Linked DNA regions of Struthio camelus. The protein of the gene in region 1 purifies or fractionates together with the protein of each later gene. This does not show direct contact. Links are inferred from orthologs where the notes say so. Each region holds a gene or a part of one and is shown in the gene's direction. Other genes may lie near its edges. The genes, in order: AMOTL2, PALS1, LATS2 and NF2.

What was found.
Region 2: the proteins of AMOTL2 (region 1) and PALS1 purify together in Homo sapiens (affinity purification with mass spectrometry; 3 studies listed by BioGRID and IntAct, counting the BioPlex papers as one, with this or other methods). This does not show direct contact. The link is inferred for Struthio camelus from reciprocal best matches to the Homo sapiens genes AMOTL2 and PALS1.
Region 3: the proteins of AMOTL2 (region 1) and LATS2 purify together in Homo sapiens (affinity purification with western blotting; 3 studies listed by BioGRID). This does not show direct contact. The link is inferred for Struthio camelus from reciprocal best matches to the Homo sapiens genes AMOTL2 and LATS2.
Region 4: the proteins of AMOTL2 (region 1) and NF2 purify together in Homo sapiens (affinity purification with mass spectrometry; 5 studies listed by BioGRID and IntAct, with this or other methods). This does not show direct contact. The link is inferred for Struthio camelus from reciprocal best matches to the Homo sapiens genes AMOTL2 and NF2.

The regions. Positions count from the first base shown.
Region 1 is NC_090950.1:2,975,179-2,982,820, reverse strand, and holds the start of AMOTL2 (angiomotin-like protein 2), read left to right. Parts: upstream 1-4,627; 5' UTR 4,628-4,764; intron 4,765-5,253; 5' UTR 5,254-5,336; coding exon 5,337-6,079; intron 6,080-7,642. UniProt on the Homo sapiens protein: Regulates the translocation of phosphorylated SRC to peripheral cell-matrix adhesion sites. Required for proper architecture of actin filaments.
Region 2 is NC_090946.1:46,765,840-46,772,781, reverse strand, and holds the start of PALS1 (protein PALS1), read left to right. Parts: upstream 1-3,925; 5' UTR 3,926-4,131; intron 4,132-6,942. UniProt on the Homo sapiens protein: Plays a role in tight junction biogenesis and in the establishment of cell polarity in epithelial cells.
Region 3 is NC_090942.1:203,549,143-203,556,198, forward strand, and holds the start of LATS2 (serine/threonine-protein kinase LATS2), read left to right. Parts: upstream 1-4,045; 5' UTR 4,046-4,285; intron 4,286-7,056. UniProt on the Homo sapiens protein: Negative regulator of YAP1 in the Hippo signaling pathway that plays a pivotal role in organ size control and tumor suppression by restricting proliferation and promoting apoptosis.
Region 4 is NC_090958.1:5,129,429-5,136,703, reverse strand, and holds the start of NF2 (merlin), read left to right. Parts: upstream 1-4,257; 5' UTR 4,258-4,377; coding exon 4,378-4,491; intron 4,492-7,275. UniProt on the Homo sapiens protein: Probable regulator of the Hippo/SWH (Sav/Wts/Hpo) signaling pathway, a signaling pathway that plays a pivotal role in tumor suppression by restricting proliferation and promoting apoptosis.

The DNA.
Region 1 (7,642 bases):
AGATGCTGGACCTCTGCATCCCAGCTGCGCAACGAACTCACCCCTGCAGCTGGGGGCTCCAGCCCTGCCTGGAGAGCAAAGCGACAGCAGGGCCCTGGACAAGAAGTCCCTACTCGGCTGGAGACCACGTGAGGTGGCGAAGCCTTGCTTGCTGCTGGCCTTATTCTCTCGGAGTAGTGTGTCCATCCACGCGGCTCCTGGGCCTCAGCTGGTCTTTCCAGATTCAGCATGTGTTTGGGGACGCAGGGACGTGGCGGGAACAGTGTCGAAGAGAGAGACTTCTGCGTGCGCCCTCCTCTCTTCCCTGCAGAAAGGCAGCGGTAGGACCAGTCACTGCTCAGCTGCAAAGGATAGACCTGCAGCTGGGTTTTGGGGTATCGCCTTTACTGGCAAGCCCTGTGCTGATTTCCACCCGCTGAGAGGCCAGCTGGGTGGATTTGACATGTCATCAGTAAAAATTGGCGCTGGAAGCTCTTGTTTCTTAGCCCTTTTATTGTTTGATGGCCTCCCAAGCGCTAAATATAGGCTCAACACCTACATCCCCGGGGATGCTGTAAGGCTGCGTTATGCAGGAATCCAGATTGATCACGCTGGAGTCACAGCGTCTGGTCTCATCTGCCCTGACTTCTGGCGCCCGTAACACTACATTCCTCTTCCTCCAAGCACATGTCCCGTCTCACAAACTCCACACGCACCTTCACCGTGCTCCTCAGCTCTGAATGCTTTCGTGGTTTTACATCACCACTACCAAGCTATCCAGCTCCGTTCGGACCCTACAAAGGACTCATGGAAGGGCTCACTGGGGAAAGCTGAGTGATTTTCAGACGTGTGCTGCCTTGCTCTGCAGTGTCCTGGGCACGCATCTGTCACTCTCCCAAGTGCAATCCCCGTTGTCTCTTCCAAGGATGCTGCTCCCCACCTGCTTGTGAAACTGAGGCTCCAAAGGGGCTTTGGCTCAGTCCCAGGGCTCTGTGAGCAGAGACTTTCCCCCTGAGCAGCTTGTCCTCCCCTCTCTGCCCCGAGCCCCCTCCTTTATCCACAGAGACAAAACTTTCTTGAGGCTGGAAACAGCAGCCTGGAGCAGCAACGGGGCTCGCTGAGGAGTCTCCAGTTAGACACCGAGGCCTGGACGAGGCTAAGGGGTTTTGTTCCGTGTTTGGAAGGTGCTGGATTCCCTCTCTCAAGAATGGGAGCTTAACGTCCCGTATCTAATTAGCAATTTTCCCTGCACCTGCCCCTCTGCCCGCCCCCCCCTCCCCGCCAGCCCTCTGACCATCTGCCGTCTCTGAGCCCTGCAGACAGCAGCAGTGAGCGATGCGTCTCAGCGGCTGCTGGGCACGTGTGTGGTGCGGGAAAGCTGCTATGAGACAAGAAGGGGCTGCCCGCTCCTTCATGCAGCCCTTAAGACCGGGAGAAAGGCCAGAGCCCAGGACGCTGCTCCCTGCTGCAGGCTGGGACACAAAGGCTGCAGCACTCAGAAGACAGCTGCAGCTAGTCCTCTGCATGAGAATCACCAGCCAAAGTCCTGAAGACTGAACTCGGTCTTGTCATTTTGGTGTCCCGACTCACGACGTGGCCACTGGGCACCGATGTTTAGTGGCAAGCACAGCCAGCGCTATGCAATGAGTTGTCTGGGTCGCAGGGCATCGGCGATGCCCAAGCTCCTGCTTGGCACTTCTGGCCTGCTTCAAACTCTCTCCAGTTGCCCTGAGGGTTTTGGCTCTGAAGAGACTAAACTGATGCTGCTCCCAACAACCTCCTGTTTCTACTTGAAAGCAAGTAAAACAAGGCAACTTAGAGCAACCAATGGACCCTTTAATCGGCGTAGTTACTTTGCCTTGCCTGACCCCGCCACCAACAATGTGGTGCCAGGAGTCCTTCAGGCCAGGAAAATGAGGCTGACTGAAGCATAAGTGGCCTTCTCTAAGGCTGGTTCCCAGCATGCGTCCACGGGCAAACTCTTCTCCAGCTTGCCAAGCCCCAGGCCCTGCACAAACAGCCTCAGGGCTCCTGGCCAGCTCATGCCTTGAGACAGGTCTTGGAGGAAGGTGTTGCAGGACATGTGCCCAGCTAAGGACCTCACTCCCTTTGGGGTTAGGATTTGGGCTGTGACTTGAGCACCTTCGTGTTTTCAGTTGACTTCCAGGGTGCTAGGGAAAGGCCGAGATGGGACTTGCATTTCTCTTCTGTTGGTCAGCGTCTTATTCAGCACGTCTTTGTATCACTCACATACTTGTTTTGGGAACGGACTTATCTGTGGTTATGGGTTCTCTTTATTTCCCCAAATATGAGCTGGGGCTCTGAGGTTTTGCAACAGCCAGTGTTATTTTCCTGGCTAATCCCCATCCAGCTGCAAGAGCCTTACTTCTCCCCTCACCGTGCTTCCCAGACACAAATTGCTCTCCGTAAATCAATGCTCAATGCTCTCAATGCTCTCAGTCACCCCTGTGACTGCATGCAGGTTGTACCAACCCTGCCAGCTGTCTCCAGTGACAGTACCTGGCCGGGGAGCTCCTGTATACTGGGGTGCTGACCTGTGGCGGGTTATAGCCAGAGGACCACTGGCCTGGTCACCCTCCCTGTACTCCCGCAGAGTCTCTGCCACAGCAGCGGTGACTACACTGTTCCTGAGGCAGGTCCCATGGGATCCCTCCTTCCAGGCACCCCTGATTTCAGCTCCTCCTGAGGCCTACGTAGCCTCAGCGCTGCCGGGGAGGGGGAACCCAGCACCCTGGCAGAGTACGGCTCTGGCCAGGAGTTTCTTGGCCCTCCTGTGGCATGTGGGGCTGCAGCTCCATCCCAGCAGCAGCACAGGAGGAAAATGAGTGCAGTCTCCTGATGGGAAGGAATGGCTCCCTCCGTCCCCCTTGCTGAGATAACAGGGGCAGAGGGGGAAGAAATATGCAGCAGGGGCCACGCAGAGGGGAGGAAAGGGAGTTAATCTTTGACCTGAGGTGAGCAAATTGCTGCCTCTGCGTCCCCCTTCGCATTGTGCGGGGAAGGGGAGAGGAAATCGCCACATTCCAGAAATTACCAAGTCAATGCAAAGCCAGCGAGGGGGCCGGGGCCACCTCTCCTTACCCACCAGGCCTCACCCGAGCTGCCCGCCTGTGGCGCAGCAGGAGGCCGAGAAACCGAGGCCAAGCCCAGTGCAATCAGGCTGTCAGCGCAGCGCAAGCCTGGTCCTTGTAAGCATCCCGACCGTGGCTGCAAGGAAGGGTGAGCTCCCACCATCTCTCTCAAAGGCAAGAGGCTGGGCAAGGAGATCAGCGCAACCACAGAGGAGAGGCTGAGCTCTTCCCAGGGCCCACAGCACCGTGCCGGCGCTGAGGCATGCAAAAAGATGTAGGGCTTCGCAGTCAGCGCTCATGTTTCCCGCCTGCTGTCACGGATCAGGCACCCTTTGAGGGTCCCTGGCTCTGGAGACCTCCTGACCTGCCTGCCGCGAGTAGGAGAGGGTCCCGTGCAGAGGAAGGATGCTGGGGGCACCTCTCCGCTGTTTGCTCTCACCTCCCCGTAGGCTTGCAGCCTCAGAGCAGCAACAAGGCCAGAGGTAAAAGCCCTGCTCTCTGTTGCTCATCTCTCTGTGGCTCATCCTGTCTCCCCTCCATCTCTCCCCCTGCCTCCATCCACTTTCCACGCCTGGACAGCCAGTGTGACAGCCCGAGCAGAGCGCGTCCCACGCTGTCCATGCCAGGCCACCCCGCTCACTGCCTCACCCTGGCATCTCCGTACCCTTTTGCCTCCTCAAAGAGCAGAGAAAACGATGCCTGAAGCAGCCCTGGGAAGGCCCCAAGCATCTGCGCTCCTTGTGCTCACTGCGAGTTGACATCACCTACCCGAGGGGGGGCGGCGAGGAAGGGAGGGCCGTGGTGGGAGGGGAGCGTGAAGGCGAAGCAGATGGGGCAGGCAGGTTTTTATCGGGCTCATTTGGTGTTAGAGACAATGGAGTGTCTCTCAGAGCCTTGATTAAACAAGAAGTTTTATTCTCCTGGACAGCTGGCGGGCAGAGCCTGGCTGCCCCCCCCGCATGGAGCGCGTGCCCCCCCCCACCCCGGGGCAGCTGCAAGCTCCTCGCACACACGCAGCGTGCGGGGGCCCCCCAGCCCTCCTTGCCCGCCCCCCAGTGCCACACTGGCACGTGCACGGCCCCCAGCCCGTCCCCTCCACCCTGTGCATGCTTGCCCAGGGCCCGGACCAGCTGGGCACCACCGGTGGTGCCACCACCAGCTCCCAGCTGTTAGTGTGCGTCGTCCCCGCGCTCGCCACGCGCTGGAGGGCTGCAAAGCGCTGCCACACCCGGCCTTATCCAGCTCCGGTGGGTTTTCCCTCGAGTCCTTGCGGGATCTCCACGCGCAAGGCTGGCGGGGATTTTCTAGCCCTCCGAACTGGAAAGCGGGCTGGGATGAGGGACCGCAGTACGCTCGGGGTGCGAGCAGGAAGCGGGAGATGGATTTCTCTCCTTTCCGAGCTGCGCGTTTGCAGGTCCGCCCGTGGCCGACTCCGCTGCAACCCCGGCAGCCCTGCCTCAGTTTCCCCGGGCGGCGCGGGGCCGCGCCGAGGCTCCCCCTGTCGGCGGCCGCTCCCGGCCCGGCCCGGCCCGGCCCCGGCCCCGGCGGCGGCGGGCGGGGCGAGGCGGGTCCGGCCCCGCATTCCTGGCATAGCTGGGCCCGGCCCGGCCCCCGGCTGCCGGCGCGGCGCGCAGTGCCGCCGGCCGCGCTCCCCGGGCAGCACCGTGGCCGCGCTGCTCCTCGCCATGCTGCGGTAAGTGTCGCCCGCCCCGTCCCGCAGCGCCGCTGCCTTGCCCTGTGCCGAGCCCCCCCCGCCGGGAGCCCGGCGCCTCCGTTGGGGGGGGGGGGGGCGCTGCCTGCGGCTTTGCTCCGACTGCTTTGCTCCGTTTCTGCGGCGGCGGCGGCGGGGGTCGCGCTGCCCCGGCCCGGCCGGACGAGCCCGCAGCGCCGCTCGCTCGGGGCTGGAGGGTGCGCGCCTTCGCCGGGAGCCTGCCAGCTGGCTGCAGCCCGCAGGCTGCGAGGAGGGGGCCGGTGCTCAGCCCTCGGGCTCGGTGGAGGCTCCGTCCGCCCTCGCGCTGACGCGGAGGGCTTCTGCTTGGCCAGCGCACCCCGGGAAATGGATGCCTGCCAGGGCGCCCAAGCGGGATTCCTGGAAAACAAAACCCTTGGAGAGCGTGCATTAAGAAGCTTTTGCTGTTTCCTGCCTGGGCCGGTTCCTGATGTCCCTTCTCTCCCCTCACAGGTGCCTCAGCGTGGCTAGTTGCCGCTAGATCGGGGGACATCTTTCTCTGGTGGAAGTGGAGGCTGCCAGCTGAGCAGGCAGAGATGAGGACGGCAGAGGATTCAACCGGGACAGTTCTGCACCGCCTCATCCAGGAGCAGCTGAGATACGGAAACCTCACTGAGAACCGCACGCTGCTGGCTATCCAGCAGCAAGCCCTGCGCGGAGCGGGCGGCACCGGCAGTCCCCGCTCCTCTCTCGAAAGCCTTACCCAAGAAGAAAGCCAAATGGTGCAGCAGTCCACGCGGCAGGAACCCCAGGGCCAGGAGCATCACTCCGACCACGTCTACTTGGAAAACAGCCTGTATCGGCTCTACCAGCCCCAGCACAAGGGCGAGGAGCTTCCGACGTACGAGGAGGCCAAGGCTCACTCCCAGTACTATGCCTTGCAGCGGGGTGGGCAGCAGCCTGGGGGGGCCTGCCAGGCCGCTCCTGGCGAGAGCGGGCAGCGCAGGGCCGAGAGCAGCGGCAGGCGCCCGGACGACTCGCTGAAGGACCTGAAGCACGGCCATGTGAGGTCGCTGAGCGAACGCCTCATGCAGATGTCCCTGGAGAGGAACGGGGCCAAGGCGCAGAACCACATGAGCTCTTCTCACAGCTACCCCCAGCTTTCCAGGCACTACCAGCTCTCTGCCCTCAGAGGCCACCACTCCGAGGGGACCGAGCCACGGGGACCTCCTCCAGAGTACCCCTACGTCCTGCCTTCCCAGGACGCCTCGGTTGCTTACCTGGCGGATCCCAGACCCTGCTCGCGGGAAGGTCCTGCATTTCAGCACCCTGACATCAGGTAACCTACAGCCCCTTGCACAGGTGATGAGCTCTTCTGGGGGTGCAGCGTGCTCAGGAGGTGACTCCCAGCCCAGTGTCCTGTCTGTTCTGGTGCCCCTAGCGCACGGATAAGCCAGGGTTTGCGGAGCACGAAGATCCTAGGCTGAAGTGGCTAGCCACAAGTTGTGCACCCAGAGTGGGACGCAGTCTGCGCACCCCAGAGAGCGATGGGAGCTTTGGGTGCTCTACGGCTCACCACTCCCTGGAGGAGAGGGCTGAGCCAACTGGGCACATGGGGCATGCAACAACCTCAGCACCACTGCTGAACTGCTCATTCTCACAGCGCTGGATTCGGATTAGCTCAAGGCCCCTGCACCAGGTTTTGTGGGGGCTCTGGGAGCCATAGGTGCCCCTGTTGCTCACCTGTGGGGCACCATCTGTACCTGCTGACCACACCAGTCCTCTCATCTCCCTATTGAAGTGCCAAGGCCACACTTGCCCTTGGTGCAGCCAAACTGGAGGTCAATTTTTCCAGTTGGCAATGAAAATTCAACTGCCTCCAAAGATCCTTCCCCCCCCCCCCCCAATGCTCTGGACGGAATTTTGGGTTAATTTAGGAGCTGGAACCAGATCAGGAAATGGCTAAATTTGGAACAGGCATGGGCCAGGGTGGAAGGAAAATGTACTCACCACTCCATGGAAACCTGTCCTTGTGGTCCCAAGCTGGGGGGAGTCTGCAGGCTGATGACAGAGCAAATAACGCTGGCACAAAGAGAGCTGCATGCTGTCCAAGGGAGAGAGGTTAGCACTGGATTGACGTGCTCTCCATGCCACAGGGGAGTTCTAGGGAAGCTGATGAAGGCCTCTCTCTCTGCTCGATGGAGCTATGGGCTGGTGAAGGTTGTTAGTGGAGCAGATAAAAAGGCACAGGGCAATTTTCCTTCCTTTTAGTGTCTTTACACTGCTGGCAAAGCCTGGCTCTGCCGTCCTCAGGTTCTTTCTAACAGGGCCCACGTAAAAATCTGCTAGGGCAGCTCTGGGAAGCACAGAGCATCAGGCCTTCAGCCGGCATCTGGAGTGGGCTTGCTTCTACTGCTGCACAAAAAGAGGGACAGAAGAGAGTTGCAGGTTGCTGCTGCACTGGGGGAAGGTGGAAGCGCGCACCACGGTTCCTGCCTCGCTGACCTAGCCGGACAAAAAACGATAGCATCTCTGGCAGGAAATGTTCTCTTTCCAGGGGAACAAAGAGGGGAAGGGGAGCTGCAAGGGAGATGTATTTATTCTTTCTTGCTCCTATATCATCCCGCAGGAATGCGGTCGCTTGGCGGCCAGCCGTTGGCAGAGCCCGGCCGGGGTCCCGTGCCGCGCCGGCTCCGGCAGGGCGGCCGCGCGGCGTTCTGGGGATTCCAGGCTGCTGCTGGGACGTCGAGGAACTCGGAGCAGTTGCTCCAGTGCGGGACGTGGTGGGGAGGGCGGCAGGGGAGCCAGGCCAGCCCCTGCTCACCGCGTTCAAAATATAATAAGGATGTATTCGTAGTCTCTTGGAGAGCTCTTTTAGTAAAGAGCCACCCGGGGAGCCTGC
Region 2 (6,942 bases), on another chromosome or scaffold:
AATTGGATTGCTCTATTAATTTCAAGGTTCAGGGTTTCTGCTGCTGGACTATGGGGGCCAAGAGAGATTTTTTTTTTTTCTTTTCTTACTTAAAACATAATTTAGCTTCTGCACTTTTAGTGATCTTTCACTCTTCTTTGAAACACTAAATACTGGATACAGCTGGCCCTACAGGTGCACTAGTTGATGTGTCTTGCTTACATGCTCAGGGTTAAACTGGTCACTAGATTTGAGGCCCGGAGAGATCAGATTGCTATAAATCAGAGCGGACAGGCCACTGTGGGATATTTTCATTTCCCCTGCAACACAGGGAGGATAGGTAGGAGAAGTCTAAGAAAGAAGGAGCTTGCTCTCATTTATTTTCAATTAAAGGAGACATTAAAATGGGAAGGGAAAAATCCTTATGAAGTCCTTGGACACAGGAGGAGAAGAGCCTATTTATATAGGTGCCAGTCATGAAATTAGAGAGCTAAAAAGAGGAGAAGACGATTTCTCAAAACCTCGCAAGAATAAAAGATCAAAAGGGAAAGGGCAGTCAAGATAATGAAGAAACAGCAGAAAGGTCAAGAAAGAGGATGGAACACAGACCCCGCCTTCAGGTAGGCAAGAATTCTTCAGGGATTCCATTAAAAATGTTTTGGCAAATAAGAGGGATCACACCAGTTTGGAAGGGATCCAAGTTGAAGTTGGAAGAGAAAGTACATCTGTTGTAGACTACATGTTCGGTGAGTTCAGAGATGAAGAGTTTAGAGATAAAGGGGAGGAGAGTAATGGGGCAGATAGATGGGGATTTCTTCTCCTCCAGCCTTTACTAACACAAGCACTGTTGCCACCGTGGCCCTTCTGACTTAGCATTCCTTTTTGCATCAGCCTGTAGAACCGCTCCTGGACGGTAAAACATAAATTCAGTTATGCAGTGATATAAAAGGGAATTTCTACCTAGTCCTTCTGTGATTTTTCATTCCCCCTCCAGAGGGCAATGGTTTCAAAGAAAACAGTTGGTCCTATGTTAGCCTCAGGACTCAACTTCACTGTCAGAAACATTTTTTTTTATTGATTACAATCAGCCAGATTTAGAATGATCAACGGTTATAGGAGTACCCTGCTGGGAGACAGTGATCCTAACTCACTTAAAAGTTATTTCATCAAAGATAAGCATTTTCTTTGTAAACGAATTTGTTTGCGGAATGAAAGAAGGTTCTACTTTAATAATAAACTAAGTTGCTTAAATACATTGGTTCTGTAGCTCCAAGTATGCTTTGATGATCCCATAATGACTGACAGTAAAGCCATTAGGAAGTGCATCTCTAAAATCAAAATGTTCAGGCTCCAAACTCATAAAAGGCCTCAACTGTGTGGGTATTTCTTTTCCGATTATCTTTCACCTGAAGATAATCATTAAAAGCTTTGAAGAAGAAGGGATGGAACAGCAGAGGCAGTACTCTGGTAAGTAATTTTCTGATTTCCATTAAGAATTGTCTTAGTAGATCCTCATATCAAAGATCAGTCAGCTAAGACAAAATAAATAGAGACTTTCCCCATCATTTTTCCATTTCCCTCATCTTCCTCATTCTCCCATTTGTCCTCTTTCTTTGTAGCTCTTGTTTTTAATTTGCCTGTTTTGTTAAATTCAAGCTGGAATGTTGGTTTTCCCACAGCAATTTTTGTGTTCTTCAGCATACTAATAAACAGTACCCACAAGGCAAAATGAACTGGCATTTAGATCTGTTCATTTAAATTGCTATCACAAAGATTTAAAGGAAAAGGTTATCTGGCTCTTTATGAATAATGCTGCTGATCCTGTGCGCTATTGTGAAACCTTTTTCAGGTATGACAATTTCTTGGTCTGAGAGAACATTTTAATCTGTTGGGTAGAATTAGCCAAGCATGCCTCATTCAAGCATCTTATGAATGGATTTGCCAGCTGGGCAAAGGCTAATATTAGGGTTTGTGAAAGCCTGAGGGAGGAGATTGGTTACCAAAGAAACAAACGCATCTTTAAGCAGCTATATTCAAGAGAAATCCCAAGCTCAGCCTTAACCTGGTCTGGCAACCCTTGAAAAGGATTAAAACTTTAGCTACAAATATAAGATAAGAGAACAAAGGAGAGAAATAGAAAATCTAAACTGGTGCGAATGTTTCTCTGATCTGTGATAAACTGCGTAACATTTTGAAGAAAACTCCTGTGTTTAAAAACTGGCTTTGGGCAACACACACACTAGAGGCACTGAGATTTTCACTGAGAGTGACAAGCTGTCAACTGAGGGAAGCTGTAACCAGAACTTGTGGCTTTTTTAGTCTGTTCACACCAAACTTTGATAGAGAAAAGAGAGTAAACCAGCGATCGGTTTGGATGAGGATGAAGACGAGACCACTGAATAGCCAACTGCTAAACGTAGACACTTTTTGTAGCTATTGTAACCTCTAAGCAAGTATCAGATTTTGAGGAAGTCTTTTTTGGTTCTCAGGTCCTTTCCCAAAACAGTGTGTAAAAAAGGGTTCACGTGAACCCTCACCATTTTCATACGAAGGTGGAAAGAACTACTTCTGGTGCTGCTCAGCCATGAGTTAGTACTGTAATGTTCTCCCTCCGTTTCCTTTGCAAAGTAAGTAATTCCACAGTCCACCCATATTGCTATTTCTTGTACTGCTTCACTTTTTCCACTCCTGCTCACTTGATTCAAACGCCCTTGTTACTGAACAAGGTCAGAGCTGAAACAGTTGATTCTGATAGTGAAGAGACATTGCTGCTCTGAAAATGAAAAACTCCAAGGGAGCCTGAGCCACAGTGTGAAAAGGTCTTAACAGTGTCCTCTGCAACTGACCGGACAGGACGTACATTAACGGCAGGTCTGTTGGCCATGTCATATGCTCAGGAATCATGGAATCTGGTTTTGTGGCTTAAACAGAGAGAATCTGCGTGTTCAAAAGGGATCCAAACAAAACATGGTATAGGAAGGCAATTTATAGGAAGTTAGAAGTGTGGATTTCATAACTGAAAATGATAGAGTTGTAATGATTAAACTGAAGCAAGAAGAGATGGGCAAAAAGGAGGTGTCTCTTTAATGGCTTTTTAGTGGCCTACGAAACTGTTTTTTCTGGCCTTGTTATGTGGAACTAGCTACCTTGGCAAGGTCAAGTCATCTCAGACTGCTGTATTTCTTTTAATGCCTCAGGCAACGGTCTTCGCAGGCTAGCCTGAAAAACAGGGGGCGGGAATGCAGTTTTTAGTTCAAAGTCAAACTAAACTGCAGCGCTGAAGATGTATTTCCCTGGTCTCGTAAAGCAGCCACGGTTATAGACCTGGTAAAACCGTGTTTAATGACCTCTTCCCTCCACTCCAGACAGCGGGTCTGTGCCTGACCCTCTCCCTGCTCTTCCAAAGCTGAATCTCAGAATAAGCATTTTTCTTCCCGTAACAGTCCGACTCGGCCTTCGGCTGGGATTGCGAGGCGACAAGGGGAGACGACGGGCAAGGAAGGGACGGCGGCGGCAGGCAGCGCCCCGGGCCCCCGCCAGCCCAGGCTGCCGGCGGGAGGCTGCAGGGCGGCGGCGGCGGGCGCAGGCCTCGGGGAGGACGGAGCCGCCCTTCAGGGAGCAGCGGCTCCAGCTGCGGTGCCCCGGCGCGACCCAGCGAGCGCCGCGCAGGGGCGGCACACGACGCCGGCGCCACGGAGGGCCTGGTTTCCGCCGTGCCCCCCGCTCGCCTCTCGACGCGAGCCGCCTGCAGCCCTCGCCCGCCCTGGAGTGACCATGACGGCAGCCGTTGGCGGCCGCCGCCCTCCCTCAGCGCCCTCCCCTCCCCCCTCCCGCGACGCGCCCCCTCAGCCGGGCGGCTCGCGCGCCCCCGCCGGTTGCGGCGGGCGGTGGGCGGGTCCCGCGCGTACGTGCGTCGGGGGGGAGGGGGCGGGGCGGCGGCGGCGCTGGGAGCGGGCGCGGGGGCGGGGCCGGGCCGGGCTGCGTTTGGCGGCGGCGGCGGCGGCGGCTGCGCAGCTCGGTGGGGCTGGAGCGGTAGTTGTGTCTGTGCGTGCGCGGGCTCGGCGCGGGGACGTGCGGGCGGCCGGCCGTGACTCCCAGCCGGTGGCTCGGCCGGAGCGTGACGACGGCGGCGGCGGCGGCGAGGAAAGGACGGTGAGCGCAGCCCGCGTTGCGGCGCGGAGCTAACAGGTCCCGGCGGGCAGCCGCCAGCCCGGGCTGGCTGCGGAGCCTGGCCGGCGGCCCTGCCCGCGGCGCCCGCACGGGCCTGCGCCTCCGGCCGCGCCGCGCCGGCGGCCGAGGCGGCCCTCGGGGGGACCGGGCAGCGCCCTGGCCGCGGAGGGCGGCCCGGGGGGGCGGCCCTGGCCGCGGTGGTCGCAGGTGCCTGCGCCGTTGCCGGGAGCGCGTGGGGCGGGCGGCGAGGGGGCCCGGCTCGCCCCGCCGAGAGCTTCCCCCCACCTCCGCCGCCGCCGTGCCGGGGCGGCTGGCCGGGGCAGGCGTTGCGAGGGCAGGCCGAGAGGTGATAGGAAGCGGCTGTTCTTCGCTGTGCTCTCCGTGAGGTGGCAGGAGTGGCCGTTTTGTTTGGGTGGGGGGGTGGGTGGGGGGGTTGTTTGCTTTGTTTTGGTTTGGTCGGTTTTGTTTTTGTTTTCAATAAGGGCGCACTTAATGCTTCTCTCCCTTCTTGCACTTCCGATCTGCCGGCAATTCCGTGTTTTGGAAACTTTTGTCTCTGTAAAGAGACCGCCGGTTTGTGGAGCTTCGCAGGATTAGTTTAAAGTAGGTTGAGTATGCCCTGGACTGCCAGTGTAGTTTAATGATCTGCAGTGGGGAACGCGCGTATTGGTGAGGGCGCGGCGGTACTCTGGAGGCTGCGCTGGGAACGTCCCTGCCCCGGCGGTGCCCTCCTGCCGGGAGCCCGGGCAGGGGTTGCGCGGGCAGGCGGCAGAGAGCACGGTGACTTGGAGCGTGCGACGTCAGCTTGCGCGAGTACCTTAAAGGACTTTGTATTTGGTCGAACTGAAAACTGTTGATATTTAAAAAAAAAAAAAAACTGTCCAAAATAATGACTTTAATGTCTCATAGGTGAGACAGACATTCTGGGGGAAAAAATTGAATAATCAGGAATATGAAAAGGGGAAAAGTCAGCTTGAAGCCCTTATAATTGAAATGTTTGGGCATAAACTAACTGCATCAGTTAGAAAAATACTTGTGTTTTGCATAACTGGACGTTGTAGTCGAGCTTTTAAAAAGTGACTGGTGTTTTTCTTTAAGTGTCTGCCGCGTTGGTGCGCAGCTTCAGGCGTCTTGAAGGGGCCTGTCTGTCTCTTTGGAGAATTGGGGTGTTTTTCCTGAATTTCCTAAGAATAGGATATCTTTGATGTGTCTCTGGTTAGGCGTCTGAGCCTGTAATCTTTTCTTTTTGATCTGTCATCTGAATTTTCACAAATGCTACTTCTTTTTTCTCATAATCACCTTAGAACTGTAGTTACACATTTAAATGTCCAATGCTGTAGAGTGTAGCTGTGTTTTGTACATATATTAACTGTTTGCCAACATACTGTGATCCAAAAACCCTCTGTATTTTACATGCTAAGCTGATGGTTTAACAAAGCATCAAATATTTATATTGCAGCACTTTGTGAACCAGTGTACTACAATGTTAAATTTAATTAACATTACTCTTAATACACGATCACTCTTTTCAAAGTAGCCCTTTCAAACTTTGCCTCCTTCTAATGTGTATCATGTGTCCTTACGGAGTATGGAATAGTTATGGGTGGTAGTTTGTGTTCTGTAGGAATTAGATGATGGTAAAGGTGGTGTTTTTACTTAAATTTTACTGAATTTGCTTTCACAAGATCTGAACTTACTTTGAAATGTAAATCAAAATATTTCTTCAGTAGGCTGACTTAGCTGTCTTAGGAATTTGCAAGAATTATTCAGACCATTGAGGGGTGCCGGGCAAGCAATATGTGATGTAGAACCAGTAAAAATGTAATATGGAGGTTAGCCTTTGTACCGAGGATTATGGACACATAAAACAATGTAATCTGAAGTTTATGTGTGTCTGTATATTTTTTTCCATGTAAATAATTATATTTTCATAACACTTTATTTGCTGCTTTGTAATCAAAATCTCTTACTATAGTGAGTTTGAAGTTGCAATCTTTCAAAAATCCTGCGGCATTTGTAGATGTAAATTCTGTTATGATGTTTCCTTAAAGACTGACGCTTAACATCAAATAATAAAAGTTGTAACTACCTGTTTCAACTATTCAGATTTCCCTAATTTGCACTTTTGATTAACTACATTCCTAATAAAATATTAGGCTTTAGAGTTCTGGTAGCTAAGAGTTCAAACAGTCCGCTGCTCCTTAGAAAAAAGGATCAGTATTTGTGTTCGTATGTCAAATTTAAAGTTCTTAAACTTTGTAGCATCTGGCCATTTAAAAAAAAAAACTTCTTAATGTGACAAGTAGTATTATAGAAAGGCTTGATATTACGGTGTTTGGATAATGGGCCAAGTGAGGCATTTGTGAATTTGAAAAGATATGCTGGTACATATGTGATGGAAACTGACTTGGTGGAAACACGGCCTATTCTGTAATTTTAAATCAGGTGTGCTGTAAAAAGTATTTTTCTAGTATAATTATCTACTGAAGCGCTTTATCCAGCACAGTGCTTTATCCAGTTCTGGCGGAATAAGTGTTTTATGTTTATGTCCTCCTCCCCACGCTTCTGACATAACTATGTAGTGAAATACTTTAAATATAATTCAAGTTGAAATGTGAGGCAGATTTCTAAACAAAAGGAAAAAATTATAGCCAGATAAGTTATTTATATGCCAGGATATTTTCAAATAAGCTTTTTTCTTTTTAAAGCAGTTGTGATATACTATGCCTATCTATTGATAGACACTTGTTTTATAGTCCCGAGGATGTCCAATTGCATACTAATGAAGAGCTA
Region 3 (7,056 bases), on another chromosome or scaffold:
GGGCCTTGAAAACTTGGCCAGTTCCTTCGCAAACAGATAGTACAGCTGGCTTCTGTTGGTTAAATACCACACAAAATCACGACGTTCCTTCAGCCCTCTCAGGCGCTGCTTGGGCTCCTGCTGAAGTCAATGATTGACAAGAAGTGTGGGGCTGGGAGCAGAGTACATAGGAACATGGGTCCTTGGGAAATCCAGTGTTTTCAACTTTCTGAGTGAAGACTATAATGGCAGCCTGAGCCTCCAAAATGCCTTTCCCAGTACAGTGAGCCTGGGTTCATGCTTTGTCTGCAAAGTGGAGTCAACTTCAAGGTCAGATTTGTCCTATTTCATCTGCTTTGTGCTGAAATCAAAGGTAGTTCTAAAGTACCAGTGCTTACATTCTCTTCACCTTTGTCATCCAAACAGAGCATCACGATGGATCTCATAGAAATAGTCCTGATATAAAAAGCACAGCTAAATCAAAGTTAGAATTTAGTTATTTGTATTTTCACCCATCCAGTTACTGAACCATCGAGCCTGACTTTGACTGGCACGAGTGTCACTTTACATCACTGTTGAGCATACGTTACATTCACACGCCTAGGTTAAGTTTCCTATACTCCACCGGAGAACTGAAAATCAGAACTCCTGTTTTTAACTGGTTTTGCATTGGAGATTCGGGAAGAATAATTGCCCAGTATCAGTAAACAAAATAGATGTTTTTAAAACAAGAATATTTCCTTGCTTACCTAAGTCTTCTTTCCTTGCACATCATTCATTTCATAAACCAGTGGTTTGTTCTAGACATGTTCTCATAGTGAAGGATGTCACTGTCTGCAAAATTGTTTGTGTGTGTGCTTGTGTGCTTATACACACATATGCTCACATGTTCATAATCCTTTTATGTATGTGTGTGTGTGTGTGTGTGTGTGTGTGTGTGTGTGTGTGTGTGTGTGTGTGTTTCCTCTATGAAAAAAGACAGGCAGAGGATTAGACATCGTGGGTGATATTCTTGCTTTATCTTTCTTTTTCAAGTTTTCTGAATGGTTTCAAAGTAGCTTCTTGACTACTAGTACTGTGCAAAGAAAAAGTTCATCCACCCACTTCACAATTATTTGGTTGCTAGGAGTATTTTTAGCAGCACGATTTGGTAATTGGTTCAAAATATAATAGTTTAGAAAGAGTCACACTGTGGCCCAGCTAATGGTGATATAAGAGTACGGGGAGGGGAAAAAGCTACTCACTGCATTAGATGTGAGGGGATGGAAGTGAGTTGCACAGAGCTCCTGCTTCTCTCGCTGTCTCAGGTGGGTGGAAAGAGAAGGAACGTGAAACCCTGGAGCCTTGGTCCCTCCCACTGTACCCACATAGCAGGGCAGACAGCTGCTCAGGCAAGTTAAGAGGTGAATGCTATAATCATCATAGATCCAGCAGAGTCACTCACTTGAGCAGAGCCATGGATAGAAACACTGCCCCTTACTCATGGTAGATTATTATCTCATGGTCTAGTCTGCTCATACAGACAAACGGTATTGTTCTTTTTATGTAGCATCTTTCCTTCCGGCAATATCTGACTGTGTAGAACATAGTCAGGAGGAAAGACTTGAATGGTACACAGTAATCTCCAAATACTTACAGAGATCTAATCATGTTTTAACGGAGAAGTTGAATCATGTTACAACTTCCATTCCTGTAGTATTTTTGAGGAAGATGATTTCTAACAGTTTGGGTTTCTCAAGGCTAACAGCAGAAAGTCTGAAGAGGCTGCCAGTCTGCGGTGGACCAGCCTAATATGGGTACTTTCTAGAGAGCAGATGCAAGCCATCTCTCTTGTACCTGTGGCTCTGCTGCCCAGATCCAGACCCAGCAGCTCTGGCCAACACATGGAATGCAGAAAGTGGAGCTGGATCCGAGGGGGGGAAAGCAGTCCAGCTGAGTTTCATTTCCAGATGGACTGGTATGCAAAAGGAAAACAAATAGGTTTGAAGGAGAAAAATAAAAGATCTCTTTTACCTAGATTTAATAATGCAGATGACTGCCACATCTTAAGAAAGGACATATTAGCACACAGTAAGCATTTTTTATCTTGATGCTGTTCCTTTAAGGCAGCCTGAACTTTATTGGGAAAAGGTCTTAAGCCATTGAGCAATCCCTGGTTTGGGCAATCACGTTGCTATACTTCATCAGTTAAGTATAGCAGTAATTCAGAAAATGAAGCCATGCCGCATCTGTCATATCATTTAAAATTTACTTCAGTTCTGCAGGTATTTGAGGATTGCAAAATGAGCCACTTTACCCTGCACTAGTCTGTCAGCATTGGAATCTGCTCTGAACCTAATGGGTTTCTTTAGCTCCCTAGAGTTGGAGGTTTCCTTCCTCCTCCCCCTGGAACATATTCCAGTCAATGACACTATTGAAATTCTGACAGTAATTTATATACAGTAAGCGGCTGACCTCAGATGAGACACTGAACAATTCCTGTGCACCAGGCGGCATTTTTCTCATGAAATAACGGCAGTTTATTTGCAGTCACTTACCATTAATCCCCCTCTCCTCCCAGACCAGCGTCATTTATAAGCACTATTGACAGTTTGCGTGATGGAAATTAAAGAAAAAAAAAAAGATGACAAACAAGCTTAAAGAAATAGCCTTAGACAGGACCGTAGATGAGTAACATTACTCACAAAAATAGTGCCCTTGGCTTTGAAGAGGCTGTAAATATAGCTCCCATCCTAGAAAGACAGTTATGCGCAGACTTTTCTTTATATACCCCCACAGTCCTGTTCAAGACAGTGGGACTCGTCACATGATTAAAGACGACCGTGGGTCTTCAGCACTTGCGGGACTGACATTTCCCCTCATACTGTCGACAACTTTCCCTGCCAAGCGGCTCTTGCCGTGGCTCAGACACAGTTCCTCCTCACAGCTCTGTACCAGAATTTCAAGCATTTTCAAGTTTCATTTCAGGACTGCAGGCTTCTTCCACGTTAATGGTCTGAAGACACACATTTATGTATATATTTACTTTCTCATTGTTCTTAATTTGTATTCGTATCCTCTGGTTGTTGCTAGTGTCGGGGTCTGTGACACTGAGGGGCCAGAATCAACCTCCTTCCCGGATCGAAACATGGCTATGTTGAGGGGGACAGAGACAGGGACACCGATCTCTGGTTGATAATCGGTCTTTACGAGGGACCAAAGAGAGCTCTAACATCAAAACACCCCTGCTTTCATGAAAAACAGGCTCAGCTCCAGGCTGCTGTATCCGTAACGAGGTCCGACGCAAGCTTTGCGACCAAAAATCCCGACCGAATTGCGACTGAATTTTTGATCCAGAAGCGAGCTGCCTGGCTGTCCCGCTACTACTGCTCTGGCACCTCGCAGCACCCTTGATCCTCGTGATGACAACAATAAATACCCGAGTAGAAATAAACAACCTCCCCCAAAGAACTCAAACCAGGAAAAAAACTCAAAAAATCCCAAACAGGCACTGATTTCGAGCTAAACTCACCCCCCCCCAGTAAAAAAAAAAAAAACAAAGCGGCAGGAACACGTAAGGAATAACAGCAACTATAATTCTCATTTTAAAACTCTCCGTTAATAGGAGTCGTGGGAGTCCCCTAAGCCGAGGGGACCTTCTTCACCCCCTTCCTAAACCGTCCCAGCGCCATTCCCACCCCTGCGGCCCCGAGGTGCGGGAGGGCGGGGGAAGGCGGTTGGGGCAAGGCAGGGCCGGTTCGTCGGACGGGAGCAGCGGGGAAGAAGATGGCGGGGGGGGGGGGGAGAAGATGGCGGGGGGGGGGGAGAGGGAGGGCAGTGAGGTGGGAAGGGGGGAGTTGAGAGGGAAGAAAGCGCCACGAGCTGTCTTTAAACGCAGGGAAGGGCGGCCCTCGGGGGGCGGGGAGGGGGGGGAAGCGGAGGGCGGAGGGGGGGTCCCCCCCCTCCGCCCTCCGCTTCCCCCCCCTCCCCGCCCCCCGAGGGCCGCCACAGCCCTAACGGCCCTTCCCGCCCTGCCGCCTCGAAGCCCCTCCCCCCGCTGGTATGTGCCGGGAGGGGCGGTGGCGGTGGGGAGGGGGGGGGAGTGGAATGACGCGGGCGCCCCGGGGTCACGTGACGCGAATGGAATGCTAACAATGTAGCGAATGTCCCAACTGTGCCCTGCACTCGGCGCCCGCCACGGCCGAGGGGGAGAAGATGGAGACCGGCCCGCGCCGTCGGGCCCGCGGCGCCCGCCGCCGCGCCGCTCCCTGACGGACCCACCACCACCACCGCTACCCCGGCGGGCGGCGCGGGGCACCCCGAGGTGGTGAGCGAGCGAAAGCGCGGCTTCCTTCCCCCCCCCCCCCCCAACCCGGGGCTTCTCCCCCACCGCCGGTCACCGTCGGGACGGGGTTGTTGGGGGGGGGGGGGAAAGTTGGAAGGGGCCAAAAGAGCGGCCGCCAGAGGGTCGGGCGCGTCGGCCGGCGGCGGGGCCGGTGCCGGGGCTCGGCTGGCTGCGGCGGGTGCCCGGGGCAGCCTCCCTCGGCGCCCTGCCCGCGCCCTCCGACGTGTTTGCGGCCCGAGCGGGCAGCCGTGTGACAGCGCCTCGCCCGGAGGCCTCGGGCGGCACCGCGAGGGAGGCAGCCGGGCCGGGGCCGGGTGGCCGCGGCCGTGCTGATGCGGGGAGGTTTCAGCGGGGTGCTCGGCGCTGCTGGTGCCGGCCCCGCCGTCGAGGGTGTCCCGGCCGGGTTGGAGCCGCCGAAGCGCCGGGGGGAGCCCCGCGCCGCTGCCCCCGGCCGCTGCCAGGCAGCTGAAGGTCGCCGCCAAAATTCAGGTGGCTCCCGAGCGGGGTGGGTGTGTTGATGCAAGCGCGTACCCGCTGAAAGGCACTTGCGCGAATGACGCAAAAAAAAAAAAAAGGCCAAAAACAAACAGTAGCAAAAAACCCCCACCCAGCCCCGTAGTGTCCAGGTGGTGCGAGGGGTCACTCCGCTCCGCTGCGGCCGGCGAGCCCCCGCCCGTAGCGCCGGCTTGGGCCGGGGCTCGTGGTTGCCCCGGGACGCAGGCGCGGAGTTACTTTTGGGCAGTTTCGTTAGCAGGGGGAAAGGAGAGGTTTGGGAAAAAACTGGGGGATTTTTTTTGGTTTTTTGTTTTTTTCCAGTTCTCCTCACCGCTTTTGGTGTGCAAAGGGGAGCGTGGTTTGTACGGGGGTGAAATGCCAGGAACCCCCCGCCCCTGTGAGTCCTGGACCTTTTAGTACAAAGCAGGCAGTTCCCCTTTCCATAAGTTTGTAATGCAGAAAAAAAGAAAAAAAAAACAATAGCTTTAATTTTAGAGAGAGAAGGTTATTGTGGCAATTTCTTCAAACTTCATTCTTTCCTTCTGCAATGCTAGTTCACCTGACCGCAGTGCCTGCAGGGTTTTATAGGCTTGGAAGCAGGTTGCCAGTTTGGGGTTTGTGACTTTGCTCTCGAAACGCAGCTGAAGCTTTAGTTTGTTTTGCGTTTCCCAGTTCCGCGGAGCCACTGGCACGTGAAGCCAGTTGGTGAATGAAGGAAGCGGAGGGAGAATAGCTAGCGGGCTGAGACGAGACTTCAGCATTTCACTTCTGTGTGGTTGGTTGTTTACTGGCAGAGCAGCTATTAGTATTTCTCAACTGAAGAAGAAAAATCACTTATTCAAAAATCATTTTAACTTGGTGTAGTTAAAGTAATGTTACATTTATTTGAAATGAATCTTAAAAGAGTAATGGTCAAGCTTCTAGTTCGTGCAGAGTATATCGTGCTTCAGGGAGGGGAAAAAAACCCTACTGTTTAGTCAGAATAGCTTGAAGCTCAAAAACAATTCTGAAAAATCATTTCTCGTGATGGCAGAAGGGCTATTGGTGGTACATCCATGTGGTAGGCAAGGTGAAGATTAGAAGGATACGAAGTTATCCAAATCCAGATGTACAGTCAGAAATGCTTAGGCAGAATTAGATACTCTCTCTCTATTTTTTTTTAAGCATAAAAGCCTCTTTATTTTTTTCTGAAAATACAAATCACAGGAAAATTTTTAAAAAGCAGGCAGCTTGTCTTTCTCTGTAAATCATCTCTAATGCCTAAATGTTCCAATTTCTTACGTGTTTAGTTAAAAAACCCTTCTGCAAAATATAAAACACATTTACAGTTAGCTGCGGTACTTAACTGCTGTTGCTGGTCTCATTCATGCTGCCTAAACAATCAGCATTACATTTACAACACTGCTAAACCCGAAAGAAAGCTGCAGAAGCTTCCAGCTGGCCTGACCTAGCATTATTAGACTCAAGCTTAGGCTAAGGGTCACAAAAGTTGTTTATGTGAAGTGTGTGTGTAGGTGGGAAACCAGTCCTTTGCTGTAAAAATGTGGGGGGATTGCAGGCTTCTCCAGCACATCCCTGGCCTGAGCATTGGCACAGGGTCTGAAGAGAGGAAGAAAACCCAGATCCCTAAACCCAGCCATGTGGTGCTTGCTGCTGTCAGGAGAGGAAAGACGGTTATAGACCAGTTAATTGCTCTGTATCATTTAATTAGTAGCTAGTTAAGATGTATTCCTAGAAAGGCTGCAATGCTATTGATTAGCGATACCGTTTTTTTAAACATTCTTTTATTAAAGCTGTGTACTAGCTGCTGCTATATCCTGTCTAGGTGGACAAAATTCTGCACTTGGGATTCTTCAGTTCCCCTGATCTTCACTGAGAGCCATGAACACATAGCTGATTTATTGCTTGCGGAAATACCAAAATACAGATGAACAGCTTTAACACTTTCCTTAAAACAAAGGACAAACCTTGTCAAAGATGCTTGTGGACACGTGTGCCGCTTTTAGTCTGTATGAGTTAGGTTTGCAGGATACCCTTAGAGAATAGCAAGTGGAAGAGCTCACTACCTCACAGATATCCTTTAGATAAGCTTCAGAGCGCTTAAACATGAGGAAAAGAAATTCATATGGGTGTCCTGTGTCACACACATTCTCAGTCTCAGCAGGTTGATGCTATAGGGCTTTGCTGTAGAGCTCTACTACTCTACAGAAATTTCCCATAAAAGGGGTGTATGGCATGCTTTCTAACGGTATGTATGA
Region 4 (7,275 bases), on another chromosome or scaffold:
GGTACGGGTCAGGACAAGGCCTGTAGAGCTTGGTGCGAGTCAGTATGAGCCCACAGAGGCTGGCAGGGGCCTGTACAAGCTTGGCAAGGGCACGTACAAGCCCATAGAGCTCGGTGCAGGCCCGCAAAAGCCCACAGAGCTCAGCATGGGCCCATACAATATAATCCAGGCAGAGGCAGGCATGGGTGTGTATGAGCCTGTACAGGCCAGTACGGATGTGTACAAGTCCATAGAGGCCGGTACAGACCTGCAAGAGCCTGCAGAGGCGGGCACGGCTATAAGCGATCCTGTAGAGGCCGTGCATGGGCCCATACAAGCCCAAAGAGACTGGCTCAGGTGCGTATGGGCCCATAGAGCCCAGCACGGGTGCCTATGAGCCCGTAGCAGCCAACGCTGGCACATAAAACCCCATAGAGGCCAGTGCAAGCCCCTACAAGCCTGTAGAGACCAGCACGGGTGCATATGAGTCCGTAAAGGCCGGTACAGACCCCCTGCAAGCCCATAAAGGTCAGCACAGGTGCATAAAAGCCCACAGAGACTAGCCTGAGCCCGTAGAGACTGGCATGAGCCCATATGAGCCCATACAGGCCAGCATGCACACCTACAAACCTTTAGAGGCTGGCATGGATGCGTATGAACCTGTAGAGCCTGACAAGGGCCTATATAAGCCCGTAGAGTCTGGTAGGGACCCCTACAAGCCCCCGCTATGGGTGCATACGAGCCTGTAGAGGACAGCATGGGCACAAATGGGCTTGTAGAGGCTGGTTTAAGCCCCTATGAGCCTGTAAAGACCAGCACAGGCACATACAAGCCTGTAGAGGCTGGAATGGGCCTGCACAAGGCCAGGGAGCCCGGCACAGGTGCCTATGAGAACACAGAGGCTGGCACGGGTGCCTACGAGCCCATAGAGGCCAGAACAAGCCGACACAAGCCAGTATCAGCCAGCATAGGCTCATACAAGGCTGTAGAGGCCGTCACGGGCGTGTATGATCCCACAGAGGCTGGAATGGGTTTGTATGAGCCCATAGAGATGGCACGGGCCCATACAAGCCCATGGAAGCCAGCACAGGTGCGTATGAGCCCGTAGACGCCAGCAAGGATGTGTACACGCCTGTAGAGGCCAGCATGAGCACATATGACCCGTGGAGGTCGGCATGGGCGCATACAAGCCCACAGAGGCCGGGGCACGCCTGTGTACGATCCCATAGAGGTTGGCACAGTCCCGTACAAGCCCATAGAGGCCAGCACAGGCTTGTACAAGCCCATAGAGGCCAGTACGGACCTGTATAAGCCCACAGATGCAGGCACGGCCGCAGACAATCCTGTAGAGGCCCTGCACGGGCCCGTATGAGCCTGCAGAAGCTGGTTTTGGAGCGTACGAGTTTGCAGGGCCCAGCACGGGCCAGTACAAGGCTATAGAGGACAGCATGTGTGCATAAAAGCCCATAGAGTCTGGCACAAACCCATATAAGCCTGTAGAGGCTGGTACAGATATTTACAAGCCCATAGAGGCCAGAATGGACCTGAATGAGTCTGCAGAGGTCAGCACATACCGGTGCATATGATCGTGTAGAGGCCCTGCACGGGCCTGTATATGCCTGTAGAAGTTGGCACGGATGCATATGAGGCCATATAAGGCTGTAGAGGCATGCATGGGCATGTACGAGCCTGTAGAGACCGGCACAAACCCCCGTGAGCCCGTAGAAGCTGGTACGGACATATACGAGTCTGTGGAAGCCAGTACGGACCTGTCTGACCCTGTAGAGGCGGACATGGGTGCACACGAGCCCCTAGAGACCAGTAGGCATCCGTATGCTCTAGAGGACCCTGCTTGAGCAGGGAGGTTGGACTAGATGATCTCCAGAGGTCCCTTCCAACCTAAACGATTCTGTGATTCTGTGATTCTGTACGAGCCTGTAGAGGCCGGTACGGACACGTACGAGCCCGTAGAGGTGGGTACAGCTATGTTCGATCCCATAGAGGCCCTGCACGGGTACTTACAAGCCTGTAGAGCTCAGGACGGGTGCATACGAGCCCATAGAGGACGGCACAAGTGAAAATGGGCCCATAGAGGCTGGCTTAAGCTCCTACGAGCCTGTAGAGACCAGCATGGGCCCATATAAGCCTGTAGAGATGAGCACAGGCCTGTACAAGACCATGGAGCCTGGCATGGGCAGGTAGGAGACCACAGAGGCCAGAACAAGCCCATACAAGCCCATAGAGCTTAGCAATGGCCCGTGCAAGACAGCAGAGGCCAGCACAGGCCCGTATGAGATCACAGCCATGCCGAGCTCGTTCAAGCCTATAAGCCCAGCGTGGGTGCGTAGGAGCCTGGAGAGTTCGACAGGGGCCCATATGAGACCGTAGAAGCCAGCACAAGCCCATGAGCTGATAAAGGTCGGCATGGGCCCATACGAGCCCATAGATCCTGGCACAGGCTCACACGAGCTCATAGAGGCCAGTATTGGCATGTACGATACATCTGGGTCCCCCCTCACCACAGGGACCCAGGCGTCCGGGCCCCATTCCTACAGGGACCGTGATGTCTGGGGCCCTGCTCACCTAAGGGACTCATAGCTCCCTCTGGCCCCATAATCCCCTCCTGCCCCATAGCCCCCTCCTGCCCCATTGCTATCTTCATCTGCCCTCTGTGTCCCCACATGTCCCCCCTGTTCCCGCATATTCCTCATGTACCCCCATATCCCCTGTGTCCTGCCTTGTCCCCTGGCTCCCCACTTGTCCCCCTTCTCCCTCCGTGTCCCCCGCGTCCCTCCCCACCCCCAGCTTGCAGGGCACCGTGGCCGCTCACCGAGCTGCGGCTCCCTCCCGGACGCCTGGGTCCCCGCGAGCGGCCCCGCTGCCCGGAGCCGTGGGGAGGGATCGGCGGCTCCCGGTGACCGCTCCCAGAGCGGATCCCTGTGCAGCATTCTGGGGCACGTCTCGGGGCAGATCCCGGGGTAGGATCCCAGTGCTGGATCCCGGGACAGGATCCTGCTGCTGGATCCCAGGACAGGATCCCAATGCAGATCCCAGGGAAGAGTCCTGGTGCAGGATCACAGTGCAGGTCCCAGGACAGGATCCCAGGGTAGGTCTCATGGCAGGATGCCAGTGCAGGATCCTGGGGCAGATCCTGGTGCAGGATCCCAGGTGAGGTCACGGGGCAAATCCCAAGGCAGGATCCCAGTACAGGTCCCAGGACGTATCCCAGGGCAGGATGCCAGCGCAGGTCCCAGTGCAAGTATTGCTGAAAGAATCCAGGGCAAGATCTCGGGGCAGGTCCTGGGGCAGATCCCGGGGCAGGATCCTCGAGCAAATCTCAGGGCAGTTCCCGGGGCAAATCCTACTGTAGGATCCTGAGCGAGGATCCCAGGGAAGGTCCTGAGGCAAGATCCCAGGGCAGTATCCCGGGGCAGATGCTAGGGCAGATCACTGATGCCGGATCCTGGGACAGGTACCAGGGCAGGATTCCACAGCAGGATCCCAGTGCAGGTCTTGCTATAGGATCCCAGGGTAGTTCCCAGGGCAGAATCCTAGGACAGGTCCCTGGGCAGATCCTGGGGCAGGATCCCAGGACAGGTCTTGTGCAGGATCCAGATGCAGGGTCCCCGTGCAGATCCTGGTACAGGATCCCGGGGCAGATCCCGGGGCTGGATCCCAGTGCCAGTCCCAGGGTAGAATGCCGGGGCATGTCCTGGGGCAGGATCCCACAGCAGGATCCCAGTAGAGGATCCTGGGGCAGGGGGCGCACGCAGATCCCGGGGCAGGATCCCGGGGCGGGAATCACCGCACGGTCCTAGAGCCCGTTGCACATCCCCCCCCCCCCCCCAAAAAAAAAAAAAACCGCCCTCCACCTCGTACGCATGCGCACAGAGGCCGCGCCGACGTTGGGGCTCGACCTGCGCCGGGGAGCGCCTGGTCCCCCTCGACGCCAGGGGGCGCCCGCGCAGCGCCCATCGGCCGCCCTGCCTCTCAACCCAACCTGCGGGGCAGATGCGCGGGGCTCTAGTAAGCCCGCCTCTTCCCTGTGAGTGGCGGCAGCCCCGTCCAATCACAGCAGCCGCTGCTCCGTCCCTCGCAAGCAAAGACCATGGCGGGGCGCGCGCAAGTTTCCTATTGGCGGCTGCTCCAGCGCGACCCGTGGCTACGGGGCGGGACAACCCTGCGCGCGGGGCCAATGGCGGAGCGCCGCGGCTAGGGTGCGCCGCGGGCAGCAGGCTCCGCCGCGGCCCGGCCCGGCGCTGCGCGGCCCCCGGGCGCCCCCGGGCCCACCCGCCCGCCCGCCGCCGCCGCCATGGCCCTGCCCTTGCCCCGGCCCCTGCCCCGGCGCCGCGGCCCGCAGCGCTGAGCGGCCGCGCCCTGCCTGTCCCGGCCGCCGTCATGGCCGGGGCCATCGCCTCCCGCATGAGCTTCAGCTCGCTGAAGAGGAAGCAGCCCAAGACCTTCACGGTGCGCATCGTCACCATGGACGCCGAGATGGAGTTCAGCTGCGAGGTACCGGCCCCCCCCCCCCCCCCCCCCCGCCGCCGCCCCCTGTGCCCGCGGCGCCCCCCCCCCCCCGGGGCCATGGCGACACCCCCCGGGGAGGGGGGGGACCGCCGCCGGGCAGGGCTGGCGTTGCCCGTTTGGGGATTTTCCTCCCCCTCGTTAGCCCCCCTCTCGCCCCCGCGCCACCTCTCGCCGCTCCTTTTTGGGGGCCGTCGCCTCCGGGAGGGCCCTGCCGCCCGCTCCGGGCCCGCGGTCCGCGCCGTCGGGGCCGAGGGGTTTGCGGGCCCCGCTGGAGCCTCCGCTCCCTCCCGTCGCCTCCAGCGCGGAGCCGCGGCCCCGGCGGCAGCGGTTCCACCCCCGGGGCGGCCCGGGCTGCGGGGCCGCAGGAGACCCTGCGAAAGCCGGAGGCTGCGGCTCGCTGCTGGGAGCGGGCTGCCAGCCCGCCGCCTCTCCCGCCGCGCCGGCGGCTGCCGTCTGGGCTTTCCCCGCACGCAGGGAGCAGAAGCAGGCGCAAACCCAGCGGCGGGCTGTCACTAAGAGTGGGGAAGCTGCTGCTCAGTGCCCCGCGCCGCTGCCTTACCCTGGCCTAAAGGGAAGGTGAGCCCCTGCGTCTGCGTGCTTTCGTGCTTTCCGTACGTTATAGCCTAGCTGAGAGCAGGCACGAAAAGTGTAAGTCCACAAAGATAACTTTTTGGAGAGGTATGAGAGAAGGAAAATAGACCATTTGTATCTCGGATTTACTTTACTGTTGTAACTAAGCTGCTTGCTGATCAGCAGGCCTCATGAGGAGACTAGAGCTTGAGTTATATTGGGTGCCAAGGCTTAAATCTATAGGGATTCAACTTAAAACACTCAGGAAAACAAAATTTTCAAATGCTATATGACTTGCCCGTTCCATCCGCTGGATGAAATGTGTTTGCAAAGGCACAAGATCATGTTCTGATCTTCACTTCTCATCTGTTTATCTTTTTCTTTGATACCTTCTTTTTCTGGCCCTTGATAATTCCTTGGCACTCTTCCCTTGGGGGCTGATATCAGCTCCTAAGAGCCTAATTTGTAATCACTGTTTTTACATGATCAGCTGGGCTTCTAAGTTGGGCGCTTAATGACTGAAAGCCAACTCTACCCAGATTAAAACATAAACTAGTTTAAAAAGAAAGGTTCTTCATCTGATCCAAATTTTGCTGCAATTCCAGTGCCCATAAACCGAAAAGGTATTTGCCCTTGTAAGCTTTCTTGCTGATGAAATGTGTTGTCAGCTCTGCGGAGCTTCCTCCCATTCCCAGAGATTAAGGATTTGTTTTCACCCACAGTGGCGTGAGGTTCCCACCATCACTCTGCCAGGAGAGGTGAAGCGTCCTGGCTTGCCTCGTGCCTCCTTTCCTGAGGCTGCCAATGATAAAGAAAAGGACGTACTTCTTTTTTAATAGTATGGCCACTTGTCCTTTCATGTTGGGCTTCAGGTATTTCTGACAGGGGAACGCAGCGCGCTCGGGTTGGGTTCAAATGTGCAACTCGTGCATCTGAAGAAAAGCCTGTCAGGGAGGTTCCTGCCCAAAAAGCTTGTTACTGCCGATGGGCTTCTCTGTGCACAGGAAGGACTGAGAGTCTGTGGGAGGGATGCTGCTCTGCTCCCCTGGTGAAGGACGCAGTGGGACTTTGGCTGTCATCCCTCAGCGCAGAGGAGCGCTCGACCTGGGGAAAATTGGAGCAAAGCGGGGAGGTCACGGGGCTGTTTCGCGCTGTGTCTGGTGCAGGTGAGGTGGGAGTTCTAGTCGAGCTGCGTGTCTACTCGCTTGGTCTGCAGCCACCCTGTCCAAACGTGCCGAGGAGGAGTCGGGGATCGCCGATGAGCCATCCTCTCCCAGCGAGCCTGGCTGGGCGGAAGACAGAGGGGATCGCTGCTGCTTCCAGGCTGTTCCTCCATGTGCTTGTCCCCATCCTTGCTGCCGCTCTCCAGTCATCTCCTGGCCCCACAGCGGGATGAAGCCAGCAGGCAACAAGGGGCTGGCAGTTCCTCCCCAAGGCTGCAGGTCCCTTGGAACAGGAGCTGTGCCTCTGGTTCACCTCCAGCCGCAGGACCCATAATAAACACGGCAACCCTCCTGGTGCTGGGGCTGCCATGCCTCGGTGGGGAGAGGCTCTGCTACAGGCAGAGCTGGCCAATTTGTGTCACCCTTCCTCGCTGGTGTCTCGTGTCCCTGATCCCCTCCACCTCCTAGGATCTTTGTCCTTCCTCTGAACAGCGGAGGCAGCCGCTGCTGTGACTGCCCTTCCGCTCCTGCCTTTCTGTGCAGCGTTAGTATGACTGTTTGTTTTTTTAAATATATATTTTGTTCCACAGCTTTCTACTGTGTGTTTTCATCAGTTGGGCTTCCCAGCCCTGTGATATTGTTAACAACTTGAGGACATGCCAGTGGAGGCCCAGGCCATTAAGGGTGCCCAGGGCTTGGTGGAAACAGTTGAGCCAGTGTGGCTGAAGAAGCAGTAATCAATAACTGGCTCCCTCACGGCGGGAAGTACAACGGGTGGCTTAAGCTCACCCACTCTGCTCAGCACGTTTTTTTTAATGTGCTCATTTTTAAATCTGTTCTGTAGGAATCCCCAGCTGTGCATTTCAGGAGATTAAACCTGCTTTGCATCTGTCTGTTCTGCAAATAATGTCCCTAAATTGAGTCTAAATCCGCAGTAATGCGCAGAAATGAGATCTTAATCTTTGTAATGCTGTGATGGAACTTAATAATCACAGCTGGGGTTTCACTTTAAAGATTCATAATTTGTTTGGGGAAA